3 linked regions of the Anolis sagrei genome follow. The protein of the gene in region 1 interacts with the protein of each later gene in a pairwise test. Links are inferred from orthologs where the notes say so. Each region holds a gene or a part of one and is shown in the gene's direction. Other genes may lie near its edges.

The links.
Region 2: the proteins of KCTD9 (region 1) and SYT6 interact in binary tests that used the Homo sapiens proteins (3 or more experiments, as listed by UniProt). The two-hybrid records come from large-scale screens. The link is inferred for Anolis sagrei from reciprocal best matches to the Homo sapiens genes KCTD9 and SYT6.
Region 3: the proteins of KCTD9 (region 1) and GEM interact in binary tests that used the Homo sapiens proteins (3 or more experiments, as listed by UniProt). The two-hybrid records come from large-scale screens. The link is inferred for Anolis sagrei from reciprocal best matches to the Homo sapiens genes KCTD9 and GEM.

The regions. Positions count from the first base shown.
Region 1 is NC_090027.1:6,177,864-6,184,937, reverse strand, and holds the start of KCTD9 (BTB/POZ domain-containing protein KCTD9), read left to right. Parts: upstream 1-3,982; 5' UTR 3,983-4,058; coding exon 4,059-4,106; intron 4,107-7,074. Other genes in the region: CDCA2 (cell division cycle-associated protein 2), read right to left, coding at 3,212-3,413. UniProt on the Homo sapiens protein: Substrate-specific adapter of a BCR (BTB-CUL3-RBX1) E3 ubiquitin-protein ligase complex, which mediates the ubiquitination of target proteins, leading to their degradation by the proteasome.
Region 2 is NC_090024.1:202,976,146-202,984,079, reverse strand, and holds the start of SYT6 (synaptotagmin-6), read left to right. Parts: upstream 1-4,910; 5' UTR 4,911-5,438; coding exon 5,439-5,580; intron 5,581-7,934.
Region 3 is NC_090024.1:34,049,110-34,056,546, forward strand, and holds the start of GEM (GTP-binding protein GEM), read left to right. Parts: upstream 1-4,413; 5' UTR 4,414-4,701; intron 4,702-6,393; 5' UTR 6,394-6,411; coding exon 6,412-6,742; intron 6,743-7,437. UniProt on the Homo sapiens protein: Could be a regulatory protein, possibly participating in receptor-mediated signal transduction at the plasma membrane. Has guanine nucleotide-binding activity but undetectable intrinsic GTPase activity.

The DNA.
Region 1 (7,074 bases):
CTACCCCTTAAACCGTGGTTCTCAACCTTCCTAATGCCACAGCCTTTTTTTAATACAGTTCATTATGTTGTGTTGACCTCCAACCATAACATTATTTTTGTTGCTACGACATAACTGTCATTTTGCTACTGTTATGAACTGTAATGTAAATATCTGATATGCAGGATGTATTTTCATTCACTGGACCAAACTTGGTATAAATACCCGATACGCCCAAAGTTGAATACTGGTGGGGATTGATTTTGTCATTTGGGAGTTGTAATTGCAGAAATACCTGATACACCCAAATTTGACAGACCACCTGTCTGTCCTGTTTTTTCCTTTCTTTTTGTTGTCTTGCTTTCACATTTGCTGACAGAAATCTAGAGGTGTGTTTGCGTGTGTGTGTGTTTTTGTCATTTGGTAGTTGATAGGATTTATAATTCATCTACAATCAAAGAGCATTCTGAGCTCTACCAATGATGGAATTGAACCACTCTTGGCACAAAGAACTCCCATGACCAACAGAAAATACTGGAAGGGTTTGGTGAGCATTGACCTTGAGTTTTAAATAAATATTTGTTTATTTATTTAAAAGTTTTATATACCGAGCTTCTCACCTCATAAGACGGACTCAGCCCGGTTTCCAACCATAAAAACACATACAATCGGTAAAATATCAAAATACACATTGCAATAAAACATTTAAAAAGCACATATATTTAAAACTACAGTGGTCAGTCGTCATACTAAAATCGAATATACACCGTCTTCCATGCAGATCATTGTTTCATTCTTCGAAAGCCTGCCTCCATAACCACGACTTCACCTGTTTCCTGAATGTCAGGATTGTTGGGGCAGTTCTAACCTCTGACGGGAGAGAGTTCCAGAGTTGCCGGGCCACTACCGAGAAGGCCCTGTCCCTCGTCCCCACCAGCCACGCATGTGAAGTCGGCAGGACCGAGAGCAGGGCCCCTCCAGACGATCTTAGTAATCTTGATGGTTTGTAGGGGAGAATACATTCAGAGAGGTAAACCGGGCCGGAGTCGTTTAGGGCTTTATAGGTTAACACCAGCACTTTGAATTGTGCTCAGAAACTAATTGGCAGCTAGTGGAGCTGGTGTAACAGCGGAGTGGTGTGCTCCCTATACCCAGCACCCGTTAGTAATCTGGCTGCCGCACGTTGTACTTGCTGCAGCTTCCGGGTAGTCTTCAGAGGCAACCCCACGTAGAAAGCGTTGCAGTAGTCTAAACAGGATGTAACCAAAGCGTGGAATACCGTGACCAAGTCAGCCTTCCCAAGATACGGGCGCAGCTGGCGCACAAGTTTTAGTTGTGCAAATTCATCCAGAGAGCACTGTGGACTCAAACAATGATGGATCTGAACCAAACTTTCATGGATACTCAATATGTCCAAATGTGAACACTGGCGGAGTTTGGGGAAAATAGACTTTACATTTAGGAGTTGTAGTTGCTGGGATTTATAATTCACCTACAATCAAAAAGCATTCTGAACTCCACCAATGATGGAAATGAACCAAACTTGGCATATAGAACTCCCATGACCAACAGAAAATACTGGATGGGTTTGGTGGGCATTGACCTTGAGTTTTGGAGTTATAGTTCATCTACATCCAGAGAGCATTGAGGACTCAAAAATGGATCTGGACCAAATTTGGTACTAATAATCAATATGCCCAAATGTGAACACTGGTGGAGTTTGGGTAAAATAGATCTTGACATTTGAGAGCTGTAGTTGCTGGGATTTATAGTTCACCTACAATCAGAGCATTCTGAACCTCACCAACGATAGAATTGGGCCAAACTTCCCACACAGAACGACCAACAGAAAATAATGTTTTCTAATCATCTTTGACAACTCCTTCAGGTCCCCCAGGTTGGGAAACACTGCCTTAAACACACACGACACAGACTGCCATATGATTTCTTTAAAGTATTGTCGAAGGCTTTCATGGCCGGAATCACTGGGTTGTTGTAGGTTTTCTCGGGCTGTATGGCCATGTTCTAGAGGCATTCCCTCCTGATGCTTCGCCTGCATCTATGGCAAACATCCTCAGAGGTTGTGAGGTCTGTTGGAACTAGGAAAACAGGTTTATATATCTGTGGAATGACCAGGATGGGACAAAGAACTCTTGTCTGTTGGAGCTAGGTGTGAATGTTTCAACTGACCACCGTGATTAGCACATAATGGTCTGACAGTGCCTAGAGCAAACTTTTGTTGAGAGGTGATTAGATGTCCTTGTTTGTTTCCTCTGTTGTTGTGCTGTTGTAATTTTAGTTTTTTAGTACTGGTACCCAGATTTTGTTCATTTTCATGGTTTCCTCCTTTCTGTTAAAATTGTCCACATGCTTGTGCATTTCAATGTCTTCTCTGTGTAGCTTGACATGGTGGTTGTGAGAGTGGTCCAGCACTTCTGTGTTCTCAAATAATCTGCTGTGTCCAGGCTGGTTCATCAGGTGCTCTGCTATGGCTGACTTCTCTGGTTGAAGTAGTCTGCAGTGCCTTTCATGTTCCTTGATTCGTGTCTGGGCAATTTCAACAATTTCAACAGAAAGGAGGAAACCATCAAAATGAACAAAATCTGGCTACCAGTATTAAAAAAACTCAAAAATTACAACAGCACAACAGCAGAGAGGAAACAAACAAGGACATCTAATCACCTCTCAACAAAAGATTGCTCCAGGCACTGTCTGGCCATTATATGCTAATCAAGGTGGTCAATTGAAACATTATGGAGCCCCCGGTGGCGCAGTGGGTTAAACCCCTGTGCCGGCAGGGCTGAAGACCGACATGTCGCAGGTTTGAATCCGGGGAGAGGCGGATGAGCTCCCTCTATCAGCTCCAACTCCTAATGCGGGGACATGAGAGAAGCCTCCCAAAAGGGTGATAAAAACATCAAAAATCATGCAGGCGTCCCCTGGGCAACATCCTTGCAGACGGCCAATTTTCTCACAACAGGAGTCACTCCTGACACGACCAAAAAAAAAAAAACCTGGTACATTCACACCTAGCTCCAGCAGACAAGAGTCCTTTGTCCCACCCTGGTCATTCCACAGATATATAAACCCTTTTTCCTAGTTCCAACAGACCTCACTACCTCTGAGGATGCTTGCCATAGATGCAGGTGAAACGTCAGGAGAGAATGCCTCTAGACCATGGCCATATAGCCCGGAAAAAACCTACAACAACCCAGATTTCTTGGAACATTACCTTCCGTTTGTTTTGTAAACGACTCCGGGGTAATGCCAAAATCAGCTGCTTTCAAGGTAGAGAAATCTAGCGGCGTCGCGGGGCTTTCAAGGCCTGGTTTTGGTCCTAATCCACTCTTGCGAGGGGTCCAATAAGTGGGCCTTTCCACGGCGTTGGGGCCCTTCGGGGAGGCGCCTGTCTGCTGTGTAGACACACTTGCCATTGTGGCCTTTAGCCGCCAACAACAACAACAGGCCTCATTAAAGCTTCTTCAACACAAACACCTTCTCCCTTCACTCGCCTCAGAGCGACTGCCTTTTCCTCGCGCTTTCCATTCAAACAAGCCTCTTCCCTCGCGATGCAATTACGTATCCCTCCGCCTTTTCTCCAATAAGACTCTTTGTTATTCTTATTCCCGACTTCCCTTGAATTCTGGCCAGTTTTGTGTCTCACGTGACCAAAACTCTCCCACGTCTTTCCTCCAATGAGAAGAGGCACCGCCCACATCCCAGGGACTACTTTTCAAGGAGAGCCGGCCACGCGGAAGCGTCGACATCGTTAACCGACAAACGACCGTTGGTAATTCAACGTCATAGGATCAACAACCAATCAGAAGCGGCGCTCCTCTTCCCTATGCAAAGTAGCCCCTCCCTCAGCTGGAAAAACATTGCGCTCTGATAGGCTCCCGCTGGAGCTGTTCTAAGGCGAAAGTCCCGCCTACAATGTGCATCGCAGTTCCTATTGGGCGAAGGAGAACGAGGCTTGCTGCGGATTGGTGAATAGGCTGAGTCAGGGAAAGAACTTCGGCTTCCGGGTTTGCAACCCAGGCGGGGAAGAGCATGTCACTCTGAGGGAAGAAGGAGAAGAGATGAAGAGAGTCACCCTGTTTGTGAATGGCAGCCCCAGGAATGGGAAGGTGAGCTCAACAAGAACTGCGGGTGATGGCTCTGCTTTCAGGAATGTTATCTGCTAATGGCATGGTTAATCCTGACTTTCCTCCTCCTAAGGTGGCAGGCACGAGTCTCCCTCACTTCACAACAGCCCTGTGAGGAAGGCCCAGGTCTCAAGGAATGGCAAGGTCATCCAATGGAGACCTCAACCCTTTTCCTCTCTCAACTTTCATTCCTGTATCACCAGTATACAATATAATAATACTAATAATAATAATACAATATAGTCATGTATATTTACATTACATGTAATATTACTAATATTACAGTATAGTGGTATAGTACGATATAGATACACCACACCTCACTACCTCTGAGGATGCTTGCCATAGATGCAGGCAAAACGTCAGGAGAAAATGCCTCTAAACAACCATTGTTGTTGTTGTTCATTTGTTCAGTCGTCTCCGACTCTTCGTGACCTCATGGACCAGTCCACGCCAGAGCTCCCTGTTGGCCGTCACCACCCCCAGCTCCTTCAAGGTCAGTCCAGTCACTTCAAGGATGCCATTCATCCATCTTGCCCTTGGTCGGCCCCTCTTCCTTTTGCCTTCCACTTTCCCCAGCATCATTGTCTTCTCTAAGCTTTGCTGTCTCCTCATGATGTAGCCAAAGGACTTCAGCTTTGTCTCTAGTCTCCTTCCCTCCAATGAGCAGTCGGGCTTTCTTTCCTGGAGGATGGACTGGTTGGATCTTCTCGCAGTCCAAGACACTCTCAGGACTTTCCTCCAACACCACAGCTCAAAAGCATCTCTCTTCCTTGGCTCAGCCTTCCCTACGGTCCAGCTCTCACATCCGTAGGTGACTACAGGGAAGACCATGGCTTTGACTAGGCGGATCTTTGTTGCCAGTGTGATGTCTCTACTCTTTACTATTTTGTCGAGACTGGACATTGCTCTCCTCCCAAGAAGGAAGCGTCTTCTGATTTCCTGGCCACAGTCTGCATCTGCAGTCATCTTTGCACCTAGAAATACAAAGTCTGTCACGGCCTCCACGTTTTCTCCCTCTATTTCCCAGTTGTCAATCATTCTTGTTGCCATAATCTTGGTTTTTTTGATGTTTAGCTGCAACTCGGCTTTTGTGCTTTCTTCTTTCACCTTGATTAGAAGGCTCCTCAGCTCCTCCTCGCTTTCGGCCATCAGAGTGGTGTCATCTGCATATCTGAGGTTGTTAATGTTTCTTCCAGCAATTTTCACCCCAGCTTTGCATTCCTCAAGCCCCGCACATCCTCGCATGATGTGTTCTGCATACAAGTTAAAAAGGTTGGGTGAGAGGATGTAGCCTTGCCGTATGCCTTTCCCAATCTAGAATCAGTCTGTCGTTCTGTGGTCAGTTCTTACTGTTGCGACTCGTTCCTTGTACAGATTCCTCAGGAGAGACACAAGGTGGCTTGGTATGCCCATCCCACCAAGAACTTGCCACAATTTATTATGATCCACACACTATATATGCACACAGATATATATACACACGCATATATGCATATACACACAAAGCACATACACAGAAAGGGGGAAGGAAGGAGAGAAGGAAGGAAAGAAAGAAGGGTAGAGAAGGAGGGATAGAGGGAGAGAAGAAGAGAAGGAAGGAAGGAAAGAATGGTAGAGAGAGAAGGAGGGAGAGAAAGAAGGAGAGAAGGAAAGAAAGGTAGAGAAGGAAGGAAGGAGAGAAGGAAATAAAAAAGTAAAAGAGAAGGAAGGCGAGAAGGAACAAAAGAGAGAAAGAGGAAGGAAAGGAAGGAAGGAAAGAGACAAGGATGGAACCAAAGAGCAAAGGAAGTGAGAAAAGAAACAGGTAGAGAAGGAAGAAAGAAGAAGGGAAAGAAAAGGAGAGAGGGAGGGAGGGAAGGAAGAAAGGAGAGAAAGAGGGAGAGAAGGTCGGCCACAGAAACATGTGGCGGGTACAGCTAGTATATAAATAAAAATGTAATGTTCCTTTGTGGGATTAACATAATTTGGATACAATACGCCTATCAGGCCAACGAGTGACTATCATAAAAACACTGAAAAACACAGAAGAAGGGACTTAAAAAGCAAAAATGCTATACCACATGCGCAAAAATGACTCCCCTGGCAAACAAAATGCACAATAGCCACATTCTCTTCTGGACTACAGTTCCCAGCATCCCCTAGACCAGGCCCTTTAGGAGAGGAGGATGATCCAAATGCACTGCTTCCAGGTTGCAAGCTTTCTTCTCCTTGGATTTCTTTGAGAGCATCCCAATCCCTGCATATTTCCAATTTCCTATTCCTGGACTACAACTCCCAGCAATCCTCCAGATAGATAGATTAGATAGAGCTAGATAGGTAGGTAGATAGATCAATCAATCAGGAGGAGTGCTGGGAGTTGCAGTCCAAGAATAGGTTGAGAAGGAAGAAAGGAGAGAAAGAGGAATTGAAAAAAAAGGTGGGCGGGGCAGAAGAAAGTGAAGAAGAAGAGACAGAAACAAAAAAGGGAGGGAAGGAAGGAGAGAAAGAAAGAAGAGAAAGTGGGAGGGAAGGTTGGCCACAGCAACACGTGGCAGGTACAGCTAGTAGTAATATATAGCATTAATATTGTGCTGTGCTAATAATATAATATATTGTATACACATATAAATGTTATAGTGTAATACAATATAATGCCAATAGTAATACAAGATAATGTTATATTTCATATTACATATAATATTACTAATAATATTACAATATAGTCGTATAGTACAATATAGTAATATATAATACTAATATTGTGGTATGCTAATAATATAATGTAATGTATGTACATACAACTTGTAAGCCGCTTTGAGTCCTCTTCTGAGTGAGGGTAGCATATAAATATTGTAAGTAAATAAATATAACTATACTGCCTCGGTCAGGGAACGTATAACCTAAAATAGTGCAGAAAAGAACAAGGCAGACAAAAAGTAAGTTGGACAGTTGTAGTGCAATGACCACA
Region 2 (7,934 bases), on another chromosome or scaffold:
TGTAGATCACTATACAAACAATTGGTTCCTAGTCACCTTTCCCTCACATTGTCTAATACCATTGTGTTCCAGGGTGGTATGACGATTGCAGTGTTGCCCCCCACTGTACAGTTCTATCTTTTTGAAATTGAACTAACTAGGGGAATGGAACATTAGAATAGTGAAGTAAATTTCCAATTCATTCCATTATTTCAAAATAATGAAAGGCAATCATCTATTTCTCTTTACACTTTGTTTGATCCCACTTGCTACAGCAGGGACCTGAACCATTTTGCAATGTCACAGCTGAGAAGCTGCTTCAATGCAATAACTCAGGACTTTGTCACATGAAGGAGGCAAACCAACATTGAAATAGGACCATAATCAAAGGCCATTTTCATATCATTGCCAGTCACCATCTCCCCACAATTAACCTGTGCCAACTATTGATAGGAAAGCTCTGACAACAGATGCCAACCCCGTACCTTGCCAGCACTGATGTCACATCAGCAGATGATATTCTCCTTCTCTCCTACTCTTTCTCTCATTATTCCCAGACCACTAATATTTCAATTTCAGTAGTATTTCACTTTTTTAAAATTAGCCAAAGCAGAAGTGCAAGATGCAAGGGTATGTGGAAGTATAAGTGCAGGACCATGGATTGGCAAATAGATGCAATTGTGCAAATAGAGAGGTGTGTTATAATAAAGGTGCTCGTGACAATATGTAGTTGCCAGGAGTTATCGTTTGACTGCTGCTGACTTTCTGCAATTAAGTCCTAATGCAAGGTACCCCAAATAATTATTTGCAAAGAAAAGACTATTTCATAAACTGTAAATTACAATGGCATAGATAAATCAAGGAAACCAGTCACAGTATTACAGGTTCAAGGAGGTAAAGTTGGAAAAGAACTTAAATAGCTTGCTGCCATTCAAAAACAAGCTTAGTATTTCTCTAAATGTTTTGGCTTTTCCAGTGAAAACAAAATATAACATTATTGGCAATATATAATACATCATGTGCACCAATAAGTGTCTTACAAGTCATAAAAAACAGTAAAAGTTGTGGCTTGGGAAAAGCCAATTGAGGAAATGTATCCTAACAAGAGGTTTGTATCTTCAGTGCTAATTCTAATTAAAAGTGGCAGGAAATACATCTAGTTTTTGTTTTTCCTGTATTTAGCTGACCAAGAGCAAGCAGCATTGTCTTGTACATTTATTATCATTTAAAGGTGAATGACTAGCCATTAACTATTTGATAGACAAGACTGAAAAGGAGGAAGAGCTAAATATTGTTGTCATGGCAAAAGACAATGTCTATACATAACAAGCCTGACTAAACTTTATTAGCTACTAAAATAGAATTGGCACACTGTCTGATAAAGGAAATGTGATTTTACAAACATACGACACATGCAGACTGATTTAAATGACCAGAAGATTGGTCTCTCATTTCAGATTTTATTTTGGAGACCACATCCATTTTGATCACATATTTAAGTAGCAATTTTAATAATACAAAACAAACAGAAATAACATACATAACAAAATAACTTTAAACCACAACTGTAGATAACTATAAATGATACAACTACAGTAGGAAAATAGAGTTGTCAATAGCTCCCCCTCCCCACCACCAAATGGCAAGGTTTACTAAGTGTGTAGCACCAAAATTTCAAGACAAATGCCTTTTTTGGAAACCTGCTGTCTTCCAATAGTCCTTTTGTTTCAGATTGTAAATCAATGGGAAAGAACTATTGATATAAATTCCTGAATCTCAGTTTGGATTTGGGAAATGAATCAGAATGGATTGGGTCCGGATCAATCTGAAATGAATTGGGCCTAGATCCAAATCACAAAATTTGCATTGAAATGATGGTGTCTGCCTCCAGCCCTAACAGAAAATAGTCTTATTCTCATCTCCCTTTCCCTAGGAGCATACAGTTTCTGGATTGCATATTGCTTTGTGAATATGTCAACTATAACTGTCTTTTCTGAAAAATAGACCGGGTTATGTCAGCTGCTTTCATTGTGATGTAAATGCTTCAAAAACCCTTTAACTTTCTTTTGTTCCCAGTTCATTTTCCTTCAATCACCCTGAGATCCCTGACCCGTGTAGCATTTAGTCATCTACAAGCAAGAGGTCAATGTATATCATTGAGAGAGAATTACAAACCCTCAGCCAGGCAGACAAGATGCTTTATTCCCTCACATTCATATTTTATTGCAGAAGTCACAAAGAACTAAACCTCAAGATAGGATTTTATGCCACTGCCCCCTGAAGAATTGTAAAGAATCTCCCAAAATTTCAGCCACAGGTAGTTTTGCTGTACAAAAAGAGGGCTGACATTTATGCAAAACATATTTTCCACCTCATGTGAATGTGTACTTTTTGGCTCTGTGTTTGGTATTAATGAAAACTGTGGAAATGTGTTTGTGTATTGTGGAGTACCTTTGGTTTTGCCTCTAAAACACTTTTATGGACATGGGACATTTTCAGATCCCACGATAGATGGGGATTCTCATTGTGGTGCAAAAGGCTTTCAATCAATGAAGGATAAAAATGTCACCCATGAACTAATTTTACCTGTGACTCTTGTAGCAACGGTGTTGACCTTAACACTCATCTGGAGGAAGGTGAGCAAGCAAGAGGAGGAAAATATAAGATATATTTGGGCCAGACTTGTGGTAATGACTGGCAGAATTTAGGGTAGACTGATTTGACATTTGATGCTTGGAGAGCTCGCTTAGTTGCCAATTCTATTTTTTCAAAGGAGGATCTAGGAGCTGATCACATTAGGATTGTACTTCATTTATATCAGTATGAATTTTGTATTTTTTAAAGGACGAGATGCATACTGTATTCAGATGGGATGCATACTGCCCCATCACACCCAGTTCTTACATTTTGAAAATACTGCACTTTGATTGATCACACCTTGGAAGGATGGCTCCTCCCAATCCATTCAAATGCCTCCTTTTGTCACTTAAAAAATTCTTCTAATATTGTGCAGTGACAGCCTGGAAGTCTCAAACTACTGTTCTCATGAGATTTTAGATGACAGAATGCATACTGATTTTATGATCACAAGTAAAAACAGTTTCAGAGCCATATTATTATTATTATTTTAAAAAAAACCCGATTAGAATCCTGTGTGCAATTATTCCATTTTTGCAACATTTTGCAGAGAGATCTTGATGGATTACTGATGGAATGGGACAAACACCATTTCAGAATCATGTTCAAGGAGTCTCAGAAATGGAGTATATTCCCTTGCAATAAGGTCCTTAATCTTGAAATATTGTAGTTCAGTAATAAAGAAATTAGTTCTAATGCATTTGTAAAAGATATCTGACCCATACCATACACTAAAGGCTACAATACAAAACTTTATGATGACAGTGCTATGCGACTTAGATCACAATCTGCAATCATGTCAGTTCATTGCCATGATGTTCATCAGGCACTATGAAGGATGTCCCATTGTAAAACAGGGGCTTCAGTTTCACAATAGGATGTATTGTCCATCAGGATATGTTCTATACCAGGGCAGGTTGCACATCAGGACATGGGACATGTGCATTGGCACACAACATTGTGCAACATGGCTTGTGGTGTATTGGCCCATGTTCTACACCAGCACTGTCTTGAGCAATGACCATACTGCTGGCTGCACTTGTGCAGTGAGCCTGACAATACAGTTATGTCTCCTCTCCCCCACCTGAGAATACAAAAGATGTATGACTGTACATTGGCTTAGTTCCAAACAGGATGTCGTCCATCTATCGATCTGTTTATCTTAGCATCAGCTTACCTTAGTCCACATTTTGTTAGTTAGTTTCCTTTTGTTGTGTGATTTGTTAGTGGGTGGTAAAAATAGCCAGGTTTGATTGCTCAGCACAATAAGTCCATACATCTCAGCCATGGCCATTTTACACGTACATTTTGGGAAAGGATAGATGAACAAGAACTTGAAAAGCTAAGACAGAAGCTTGAATAGTTACTACCTTGTTTCTTGTATAATCCATTGACATTGCAACTAAAGATATGAAGGGAAAAGCAAGAGTGGCAGGAATTATACCACAGAATCCTACAAAAGCCGTACAAACTAACAATGAAGTTACAGGCGACGTGGAATTTTGAAATTAATGCTGAAAGTACAAAATAGCAGATATGCATAAGTTTCTCTCCTCAGCGTCTTTACTCTATTCATATGTTTATAAGGCTCTGCTAATTCCTCCTTTAGTCTTCTGTTTCTTTTTAACTATTTGACTCTTCTAATCTCCCTCTCCGTTTTTGTCTTTTCTCTCTGCCCTTTGAAGTAAGCAAAATACTATTGAGAGGCCATAGCCAAGCTTTCTTCATCTATTTGTGACTTTTTTTAGGCAACAATGATATTCAAGTTCCACCTATCTGGAATTAGAACATGCTATTATTTTACACTAATTCATCATGATCCTGTAAAATTACGTTAACGGGTAATTATCTGACACTATATGTTCATTAGCATTGTTCCACACACCCACTTACTTATGATCCATGAGAACAAGGCTGCAGCCCCCTTATCATCTCTTATGTTGTTAGACTTGCTTCTTCTTCCTCCTCCTCTCTTCCACTCCAGAATTCATTTCTACTGAGTATTGTTCTAATTGCCCATTATGGGATCATTGCTCATGCCTGACAATTGGCACTTCCTCTACGTGCAGATTGGTTGCACAGCCTGATCTGGCAGTGGGAGCCCAGAAGTGGTACTGTAAATTAAAACAATGATCTAATTACTGAGCACAAAACAGGGCTGGCGCCCTATTAGCAATCTGCAGTTTAGCATGTTAGGGCTGAAATAAGCCAATAAATAAAACCTGTTCCCTCCCTTGTGCTGAAAACAGCATGTCTAGTAACCAATGGTGTTGCTCAGCTTCAGCTCTGTGTTGTGACAAGCTGTTTTGCTGCGCTGGAGGATTTCAATGCTCTCTCTCCCGCCACCCCACCTTGCATGAGCTCCAGAGAGAGCTTTACTGCTTCGTACAAGTCCCTGGCAATGCCTCTTCCACCACCACCTGGAAGGGAAGGCACAGCAATGAAGAGGTTAAAGAGCTTCTTTGGAATTTGGCTTTGAAAACTATGCAAGGAGGGAGTCAAAGTGAATTGGAGAGGAGGAACCTTGTGCAGCACACGTCTTGGCAGTAAATACAGCTCTCTGATATCGGATGCAACAAGGCAATCACAAGGTGCCGGTAGCAAGTGGTGGTTTGTTGAAAGTGGCATCAAGGTGGCACAGGCTCAGCCCAGAACTCAGCGTATATCTTCCAAGAGTGGCCTTCAGGGCGGTGAGGTGCCTGAATGACCCCAGGCAGTAGTGGATTCCTAGATTGTGTGACACTGTGAGTGTGCTGCTGTTATTCCACTGGAATCTCTCCTAGTCAGCCAGGTAGGAGGCAAAGGGAGATGCAGCTTGGGAAATGACCGCCACGAAAGAGGAAATCCACTGTCAGACAGCAGCTCGGATTGTCACGGACTTGTGCCGCAAGAAAAGCCTACCTCAGTTGGACCCAGATACCTGCAAGCAGTTCATCTTCCCAGACCTGAGTAATCCTGAGCCAGGTACAGTGCCCCCTGTTCTGTAGGGGAGGGCTTTCCTATTAATTGCCTAAAGAGACTGTGGGAGAAGAGGTCTGGCCCCCCTCCTTTCCTTTCAAAAGGGATGAGCCTTGTTCAAATCTCCTCCTTTATCCCTTGATTATATAGACATTTGCCTTCATCTTATTCTGTCCCTTGTAGCTGCATGTTGTTGGAAAGTTGGATGAAACCTGTTGAAAGCTGCAAGTTTTTGTAAGGAAGGCAAGCAAGGATAGAAGTGGGAAGAGTATGTGAAGAGGACATAGTTTAAAGCCAGGAGCAGGGGGATGTTGTTTCTGGTATTGAGGTTTTGGATTTTCATCATCTCTGTACTTCCAAAACCTTTGTCAGGGAATTGTGCCCCAACAAATTCACCTACATTTTTGTAAGGTTCAGTGTCTAGTCAAAAGTAAAATCACCTTAAAAAGAACTGGAGGGCAGCAGGAGGGTAATGGTAGAGTAATAGTTGAAATACTTTCTCCCTGTTTAAAAAGTGTAAGAAGAGAATTAATCTGAGGAAGTTATTAAATGTGAAAATAGAACTAAATTGAGATCACGTGTACTTTGTGTGTGTGTTTGAAAAGGGCATCTGTGTATTTGACTACTCAATGTTAATGTAAATAGAAGTATTGTTTACAATTATCTGAGCATCCCGCCATGGAAGAAATAGAGTGCCTTGCTAATTCTAAATACTCATTTCCATCAGATGATGGAACTGAGCACAGCTTTACAAAATTTGTGATGGTGAAAACAGGGGGTTTCTTTTTTAACTCCATGTCAGACTGTAGTGTTATTCCATGTCTGGATATTCTTTCAAACCAAGAATAGAAAGCCATTTCACAGCTTGCTTCAGGATTTATAGCAGAAGATATAGATGCCACATCATTAATGGTATTTAGCTGTGACAGGTAAAGGCGAGGAAACATTCCTCATTATTGGGATCCTTGAGGCAGAAAACTGTTATCTTGATGTCATGCCCTGTTTGTGATTTGTCTGAGAGGTTATTGGCCATCCACTTTTGAGAATGTAATGAAGTCTGATCCAGCAACTGCCATCCAGTAGGGTTTATCTTACATTCCGCACACAATAGTTTCTCAGTTGCACTGTAGATTTTCTTCTGTGATCTATATATTTTATTGCAATAATGGCTATTCACCTTAGAGGACCAGGGAGAGTTCTGTGCCATCTCTATGTACAAAGATACAGATGTCTATGCTTGTTGAGCATATGTTCCAATAAAATTTGAACATAGTTCTGCATGAGAGTTCAGTTATTGAAATTGCCTTCACTGTGCCCTTAAGAAAGATTTGCTTTGCAACTATCAGAGTCTGACTTTTCAGCCATAAGGCAAAAAGGATATCTTTTATTGCTTCATGGATTATTACAGTTTTTTTCTAATGTGCCAACAAAACATTTACAGCCTTTGACACAGATCTGAATCCCTGTAACCTACTGAGAACAAATTGAATAGAGAGGGTGGGGAGAAGAGGTAGACTCATGTTTGTTACTGACTGAAAACCCTGATCCTAGATGGGTAGAGTACTTGCAGCTGCGTTTGACTCACTCATGAAGGATTTGGGCTCTGCTGATACCAAACTGCCTTTGTCCTCTTTGAAAAGTGTAGAGTAATAATAGAATTGAACATCAGCATTCAGAAGGGCTGCTGAGATGGAGCCTTGATGCCAATAAATCCTGTTCATGAAGCATCAGAATGTGTTGTGGTAAATGTTTAAAAGCTTTCTCTGGAACAGTTTTTTTTCCAATAAAAGAAGTTGGGAGAACTTTACAAACTTTATATTTCTGACTTGCACACCTAAACCCTTTTTCTCATGGATTGCTCTGGATCATTGCAGACTGCCGGCTATCAGGATGGCTGCTGTGATTTCAGCAGGAATAACCTGATTTCTGAAGCTTATGCTGGACCTAGCAATGCCATTTCCTGAGAGCAAAAAGTCGACCTGCTGTTACTGACATAGAACAATGTCCTAATTTAGATAAGCCCCTTGCCAAATGTTCCACGTGTGATTTGCTAGGGATGAATCATCATTACCTGTGTCAGAATATCAACTTGTTCTGCTTACTATAGTCTGGCAAATTACAAATCCAATGTCATTCTTTTTGAAAGTTATGTATATATTTTATTTTTAAGATTCATTAATTGCTTTTTAGCCAACACTTTATAGCAATCTCTGTTACCACAGCAGTGTCTCAGATTTGGGGGTGGAGCAATTTCCCAGGCTCCCTGATACTTCAGAGTATTCCAAACTGAGCTGAGAGAAGTTTTCCATCACTGGTTGTTTTCCTGCTTTGTTGAGTAGAAATACAATAATCTCTCAAGT
Region 3 (7,437 bases), on another chromosome or scaffold:
AAATTATCAAAATTAAATAACAAGACTAACATATCTAAGATGCTACCTCACAGGTGGCTGCTCTTATCGCTTTTGGCAAAGCGTTCCAAGCTTTTGGTGCCGTGCCCAAGAATGTGCCATTTCTAGCCAATGTTAAGTGACAGCTGAGTGGAGAAGAACTGAGTGGAGAAGAACGTTACATTACTTGATCTTAATAATCTACCCGGCTTGTATAGTAGGAAACTATGTCTCAAATATCCTGGACTGAAACCATGTACGGTTTCATAGGTTACAAGCAGCACCTTAAATTGAGCCCAGAAGGTAATTGAGAGTCAGCGGAGCTGTCTCAGCAGCGAGATGTTGTGCTCCCTGGAGTCAGCTCCAATGAGGTATTTAGCTGCCATTTGCTTGACAAATGGCAGTTTCTAGAAACTTTTTAAGGGCACATAGAACGCGTTGCAGTAGTCCAAACGGGATATAACCAGTGTGTGTACTACCATGGCCAAGTCAGATTTCTCCAGAAATGGCATACAAGTTTTAATTTTGCAAAGGCAGCCCTGGCCACCACCACACTACCTGTGCTTCCAGATGTAAGGTGGAGTCCAGAACCACTTCCAAACTGCAAACCTGAGATTTCAGGGGGAGAGTAACCCCGTCCAGCTCAAGTTGCAACCTTATCTCCAGATCGATCTTCCGCGAGACCTGCAGTACTTCTGTTTCATCTGGATGAAGCTTCAATTTGTTTGTCCTTATCCAGTCCATTACCACCCTCAGGCAATGGTTCAGATGATCTCTCCCAACAGTTTCTGGTAGATGTTAAACAACATTGGGGATAATGATGAGCCCAGGGGCTATGGAATTGAGCAGGACTCCCCCAACACCACCTTCTGGAGATGACCCAAGAGGAAGGACCAGAACCACTGCAATACAGTGCCTCAAAGTCCCATCCCCACCAGGCTTTCTAGAAGGATACCATGGTTGATGGTATTGAATGCCACTGAGAGGTCTAGCGAGACCAGCATCATCACACTCCCCTTGTCTAGTTCCCCTAGTAGATCATCCACCAAGGCGACCAAAGCTGTTTCCATCCCATGCCCTGGCCTGAAGCCGGATTGAAATGGATTAAAAAAATCAGCATCCTCCAAAAATCTTTTGAGGACATGTTGCTTATTTTCATTGACAGCAAGGTAAATATATCGAGGATGATTCGAAGTAAGGCCAATAGGTTCCAGGTGTGAACCATGGCATTTTCATGTATGACAGAGAAGGAATCCTGGGTAACATTTTAGAGGGCTCATGTCTGTCAATGTACAGAATATTGATCTACTTGGACCAATAGTCTAACTCAGTTTAATACGGCTTCGTTTTTCTCTATGTAATGCCTTGCTTCTATAGTTCCCACATTTTCTATTGGGTGGTATAGCACTTCTGAACAAGGAAATGCCATTTAGCTACCATGATGTGTGGCTATATTGTTTGGCAATTCTGGAAGTCGTAGCCTGAAACCTCAGCCTTTTTGTAACTCATGATTGTAAACCACTAGATTATTCTGCCAGGAAGGGTTCTGCTTAAGACCAAGGGGGAAAAGGATCGATTGAATAAGAGCTAAATGTACACAAACTTCTAATTCCAGAACACAGTGGTCCAGTCAGGCTGCCATGAAAAACCACCTGCAACATCAAAAGCAAAGCCCACTAAACTACCAAGTTGGGTAAAAAAACCAAGTGTTCCCTAAGTATCTAATTAGTCTTTGTGCTCAGCAACACCAAATTAATTCTAAAAGGGTTTTTTTTTAATGAAAGGTCAACTCTTACAGTATTGCATGGCTGATTTTAAAAGAAAATTAGTGGGTTCATATACTACACATATGTTTGCAATACATAGAATAAAACTCATTTGATCATAAAAATGACTGTTGGTACTTATCATTGGGGGGAATGGTGTTCAGTTTGGCTCTGTAATAAATTTACTTTGTTTTGCTGCTTTGAATCATACAGAGATGATCTGAGAGTGCCTTCCCTCAACATATTTGCTCTTTCTGTTCTAGATTATGTGGTGGATGGATGGGTGGTTTAGCTCCCCAAAATGGCATTTGTATTCAATGTTCAAGTTGCATTTAACATGCTGACTAAACCTGCACTACAAGGTTATTTTACTTTTGTATCAGTTTAATTGCCATGGCTTCCCCCAAGGAATCTTGGGAATGGAAGTTTGGTGAAGCTGCTAAAAATTCTCTATGAGACACTTCATAATATAAGTAGGAATGACTTACACCAGATGAAATCATGATTGCAAATTGGATTGGGTGAATCATGCTGCCCTCCTAGTTATTACTGAACTATAACTCTAGTCAGCATGGATAGTGTTAAGGGATTCTGAGAGATGTAGTCCAAAATACTTGAACTCAAAGTGATAGTCCACAGGCTGATGCCAACCCAAGAACCATCATCTTCTGATCCATGGTGAGTTTCCAAGAAAGAAGAAAACAGTTGTAGCCAATGGATCCAAATATGGCATCAGTCTCTGACCCATTCGGAAAACAAAACATTGCTGGACATCTACATCAGACAGCCTGAGAAACATTTATATTGAAGGCTATATAATTCTCATCCCTGGTGTAACTATCGCTTAACTTATGCTGACCCTAATGTAATACTATCATGACATTTTTGGCAGCCAAGGGTGTGACTTGCCCTAGGTCACCTGGTGGGCTTCCATGACCAAGTGGGAAATTGAACCAATGCTCAAACCATACATCACACCAGAAATCTCTATAAAAATAGTTATGTAGGATGCCTGTGGACTTACAGCAATTCAATTAATTTCATAGAATTTTTCCAGGCAAGGAATACTCAGAGGTGGCTTGCCATTGAACCCCTCTGAAATATAGTCTGCAGCACCTGGTATTCATTGAGAGCCTCCTACACAAGTACTACTTACCAGTCCTGATCTTGTTTAGCATTCTGAATCAGATGGGATAAACTATAGAATCATAGAAACATAGAATCATAGAGTTGGAAGAGACCTCATGGGCCATCCAGTCCAACTCCCTGCCAAGAAGCAGGAAAGTCGCATTCAAAGCACCCCTGACAGATGGCCATCCAGCCTCAGTTCAAAACCTCCAAAGAAGGAGCCTCCACCACACTCCGGGGCAGAGAGTTCCACTGCCAAACAGCCCTCACAGTTAGGAAGTTCATCCTTATTTTCAGGTGGAATCCCCTTTCTTTTAGTTTGAAGCCATTGTTCTGCATCCTAGTCTCCAGGACAACAGAAAACAAGTTTGCTCCCTCCTCCCTATGACCTCTCCTCACATATTTATACATAGCCATCATGTCTCCTCTTAGCCTTTTCTTCTGCAGGCTAAACATGCCCAGCTCTTATATAAAAAGTGATTCATTGCAACATTCTAATGGATTGCTAATGGTAAATTATTGGGGATCCCAGAGCTGTTTTTAAGGTGGGGGATCTCAACCTTGACAATCACACTATTAGTAATTTTGCCTATTTACAGGGAAAGGGCAATTACTTTGCCCATCCGGTATCACCCAAATAGCCTTAAATATGAAGACTCTTACAAGCACAGTGTGCACTGAGAAGTGCCCTGCTCTCAGTGCCAGATTTACTATTGTGCCTAGATGTGCTTAAGCACAGGGTACCATTGGCTGGGGGGAGGGACACATCTCCCCCCCCCCCTTCCCCAAATTTGATATGATGGATTTTGCTTATGTGGTGCACTTCTGCATTTGAAAGAGTTCTGTTTCAGAGAGATTCCAGATATAATAGAGATGATCGTCTATGGGAGTGTGCCACAAAGCAGGCAGTGTAGGGCTACTGGATCTCCCTCCTTCAGGGCCCAAGTCAGGGGCCCCATAACTTAACTATCACAGAGCCTCATTTGTCTTAAATCCAGCTCTGCCTGCCCTCCATATGCTCAGTGTCACTTACTTCCAAGTAAGTAAGCAGGATAAATCGCCAGCAGCCTTTATTATTCCTGGAAAAGCTCAGCAACAATAGCTGCCTTCATGTTTCTTAGGGCTTGACCTTTTAGGACACTTCTGGTTAGTAATTCCTGACGAGTCAGCTGTGTAGGAGCCTTTGTGATCCTCTTTCGACAGATCAACTGTGAGGGAAGGCTCGAACCCCAATTCTCTCCCCACAGTTCCTGGATCCATGGTAGGCTGGGCTATTATTTATCTATTATTTCCCACTATAGCCTGGCATTTCAATTGATTGCTTCCTGTGTTTATGAATCCAAAGTAATATTGAAGGACTGCTCATTCAACAGCACTTTAGCAGAAAGGAAAGGAGTTACGAAATATAGTTTGGCTACTTTTCTGCTGGTGCCCTTGTGGAACCGAGTGGGCAGTCCACTTACCAGCATTAGAAGCAGAAGAAAAGAATGCCTGCCTGCCTGCGAATGAATTTATTTTGCTATCACTGGTAGCTCTCCCTCCCTTTCCCTTGCATGCCTGCTTCCGTCCAGCTGAGGGCTGCCTGTTGAAGGGACAGGCCAACGACGTCACGGAAAAGCCCTGTCTCTGATCAGATGGGCTTAATATAAACCAGGTTTGCTGAGAAAGAATTAGAGAGGCAGGCGGCCCCAGAGACCGAGGAAGGATTTTCCGTGGGAGACTGGTTCAAGATCCACCAACTCTCTGACAAAGGGAGTGAGACCAAGAGTGTTGACTCTGGTTGAGACAGGAGATTCTGAAAGACAGCAAGGTAGTATTGGTTTCACAAGACTTCATTTGACTACTTGTCTTCAGCGTTGTAGGCATGGAAATTGATAACGGGGAAATGTAGAGCGATAGAGAGCTTGAAGTTTGCAGCCGATCTAACTTTATTTCCTTGATAGCAATCATCAGCACTATTTAGCAGTATAGAGAAGCAAACAACAAAGTCTGCATGCTATGTGAATTAAGTCAAAGGCATGCTAGTGTGTTGTTCTCGTCCATACTACCTAGAGGAAGGTTGTTAATAGTGTGAGAGTGTGTCACTTATACAGAGATGAGTTGTGTATCATCTATAGTTCTACAGATTGATAGGAGCTGAATAAAAAAGGACCTGTCTCATTTTGTACAGTAGATAGTATTGTGTGAGCATCCCATTACTTTTTTGCTCAAATGAGGGTAAAAGTTGGTGTTTTTGCCGGTAGTGGCAGAAGATGCAGAAAAATACATGCTTTGAATTTGAAATAATCTAAAGCAGAATTTTCTGCTTTCCTTTGCAATATATTTGTTTCACAGCCTCTCTTTGAAATTCCCTTTTTCTGAATGACACACAGAGTTTGAAAAACTTGCAGACCCATCTGTATGTTAACTTTAAAAACTTACCTCAGATCTCTCTCTCTCTCGTTCCTTCCCTAGTAAATGCTTTGTTTGTTAGATAGAGAGATGAGAAGTGAACTAAGAAAGTTCAGGCTTCAACATGAATAAGCAAAATGTCTAAATAACTGTCATGTTGGGAGCTGGAGAGCATCAAAGCAACTTTCCTTAAAATGGTAGCTGCCGATGATACTGGCCACCAGGAATTACCTCACAACATTGCCTCCCTCCAGTGCCAAATATTTCTTTCCAGAAGTTGTACAAGCCATCTTTAGAGAAGGGGAAAGTACTCAGATCACTGGTTTTAAAACCTTTCCAAGTAATTAGCCTTTTTAAAAAACTTAATAACATCTGTTGTCCTTGCTCCTTTGGAATGTTTCCTTTTCCTCATTACAAGACTTTGGACCCGACACTTTTAGGGAGCTGAAAATAAGGGACTCAGGTATACAATGTTAACTAAAATGATGGAAAAACCAAAGGGTATTTCTTATAGGTATTATTAGCTACTTGCAGAACAGTATCCAGTATTAACCACCCAAAACTGCAAAGCTTGGAAAAGTACTTTTTGGAGTATAGTTACCAGAATCCCTCAGCTGGAATTAATAGTCCAAACATGTAACTTTGGAGCCCTATAATATCATATGCATCTGTAAATGCACAAGGGTTTTAATTTTCAGTCTGCGTACATTGGAATTTAATTGCATCCTGTGGGATATAAATGTATAACAACAACAGCTACTTTTCTAAGCTCTGTGCTTGTGAAAAATTAATGTCATAATTCAGGGATTCTAGAATTTATTATTTGGTGGGGGTACTTAGAATTATCTCCAGATACTTTCAACCATAGAGTAAATCTTTGGTAAACTCCAGTATGAGTACATCATTATCCCCCAACTTTCAGAACAAGAATTGCCCCTTCACTGGAGGAACGTTTCACAGTTTGTGGACTGTTTTCTTAATTGTGCCACTGGAGATATGACTGCTGAGATTACCACATTTCAAGAACACACAAGAAGGTAGCCAGCCTTTTCACAGCCATGTTGTCATGAGTAATGTTTGTTATTCCATGGTTCTTCTTTTTTTAAACCAGGAAAAGGGGACAAAAGCCATGACTCTGAACAATGTCACGATGCGTCACAACAGTAGTGCCTTGCAATCCCAGCAGCAGCGCTGGAGCATCCCAGCAGACGCAAGGCATTTGGTGGTCCAGAGAGACCCCCATGAGTCCAACCAACAGAAAAGGTACACCATCAACCCTGAAGAGTATTACCGAAGGAGCTGGTCATCGGAGTCTTCCGATTCCGTCATCTCATCTGAATCGGGAAATAGCTACTACCGAGTGGTCCTTATAGGGGAACAAGGAGTCGGCAAAACAACTATTGCCAACATCTTTGCAGGTGTTCACGACAGCATGGACAGTGACTGTGAAGTGCTAGGAGGTAGGTCATGCAGTTCCACCTTGCCAAGGGTTTTTTCAAACCCGTTGTGTAAGCAGTGATTAGTGTTAAGTAACAGAGAAAGGCAGGAGCTTCCAGCACATACGTGAGAGGGATTCCCTTCGTTGTTGTTCTTCTTCAGGATGATTTCATCATGTGGGTGCCTTCTATAATTTCACATTGTGATGGCAGTAGAGTGATCTAACAAATCAGATATTTTCCTGTCAGAGTTTTAATGGTAGTACCTAGCAGTGAGGCCATGAGGAGTGACGTTTTGGCAAATAAACACATACAGTCACTACTTGGATATGAAAAAGAGGTCGCAACCTTTATTAGTCACAGTTGCAATAGTCCTGGCCCAGATGAGATCCATTCTCTCAACGTTTCACCAATGAAACCAGGATATGTGTTTCTAAGCAACACCAGAGTGTAGTCAAGGTGGCAAACATGGTGAACATTCAGGCTGAGCAAGGATGCTGCAGTTTGCTTTTCTCTGAGCCTACAGGGAAGAGCAAAATTCTACCCTTTCCTATCCCCTGCATCCCACCCTGAGTTTATTGAATGTAAACAATTCAGTTTCCAGCTAAGTTTGAAATAAGCGGAAGATTAAAAAGGAAAATGGATGAAGGATAGAGAAACTGGGACATTTTAAAAGATGTTAAAAAGTGGCAGAAAATTAAATGGGATTGTCTCTGCCA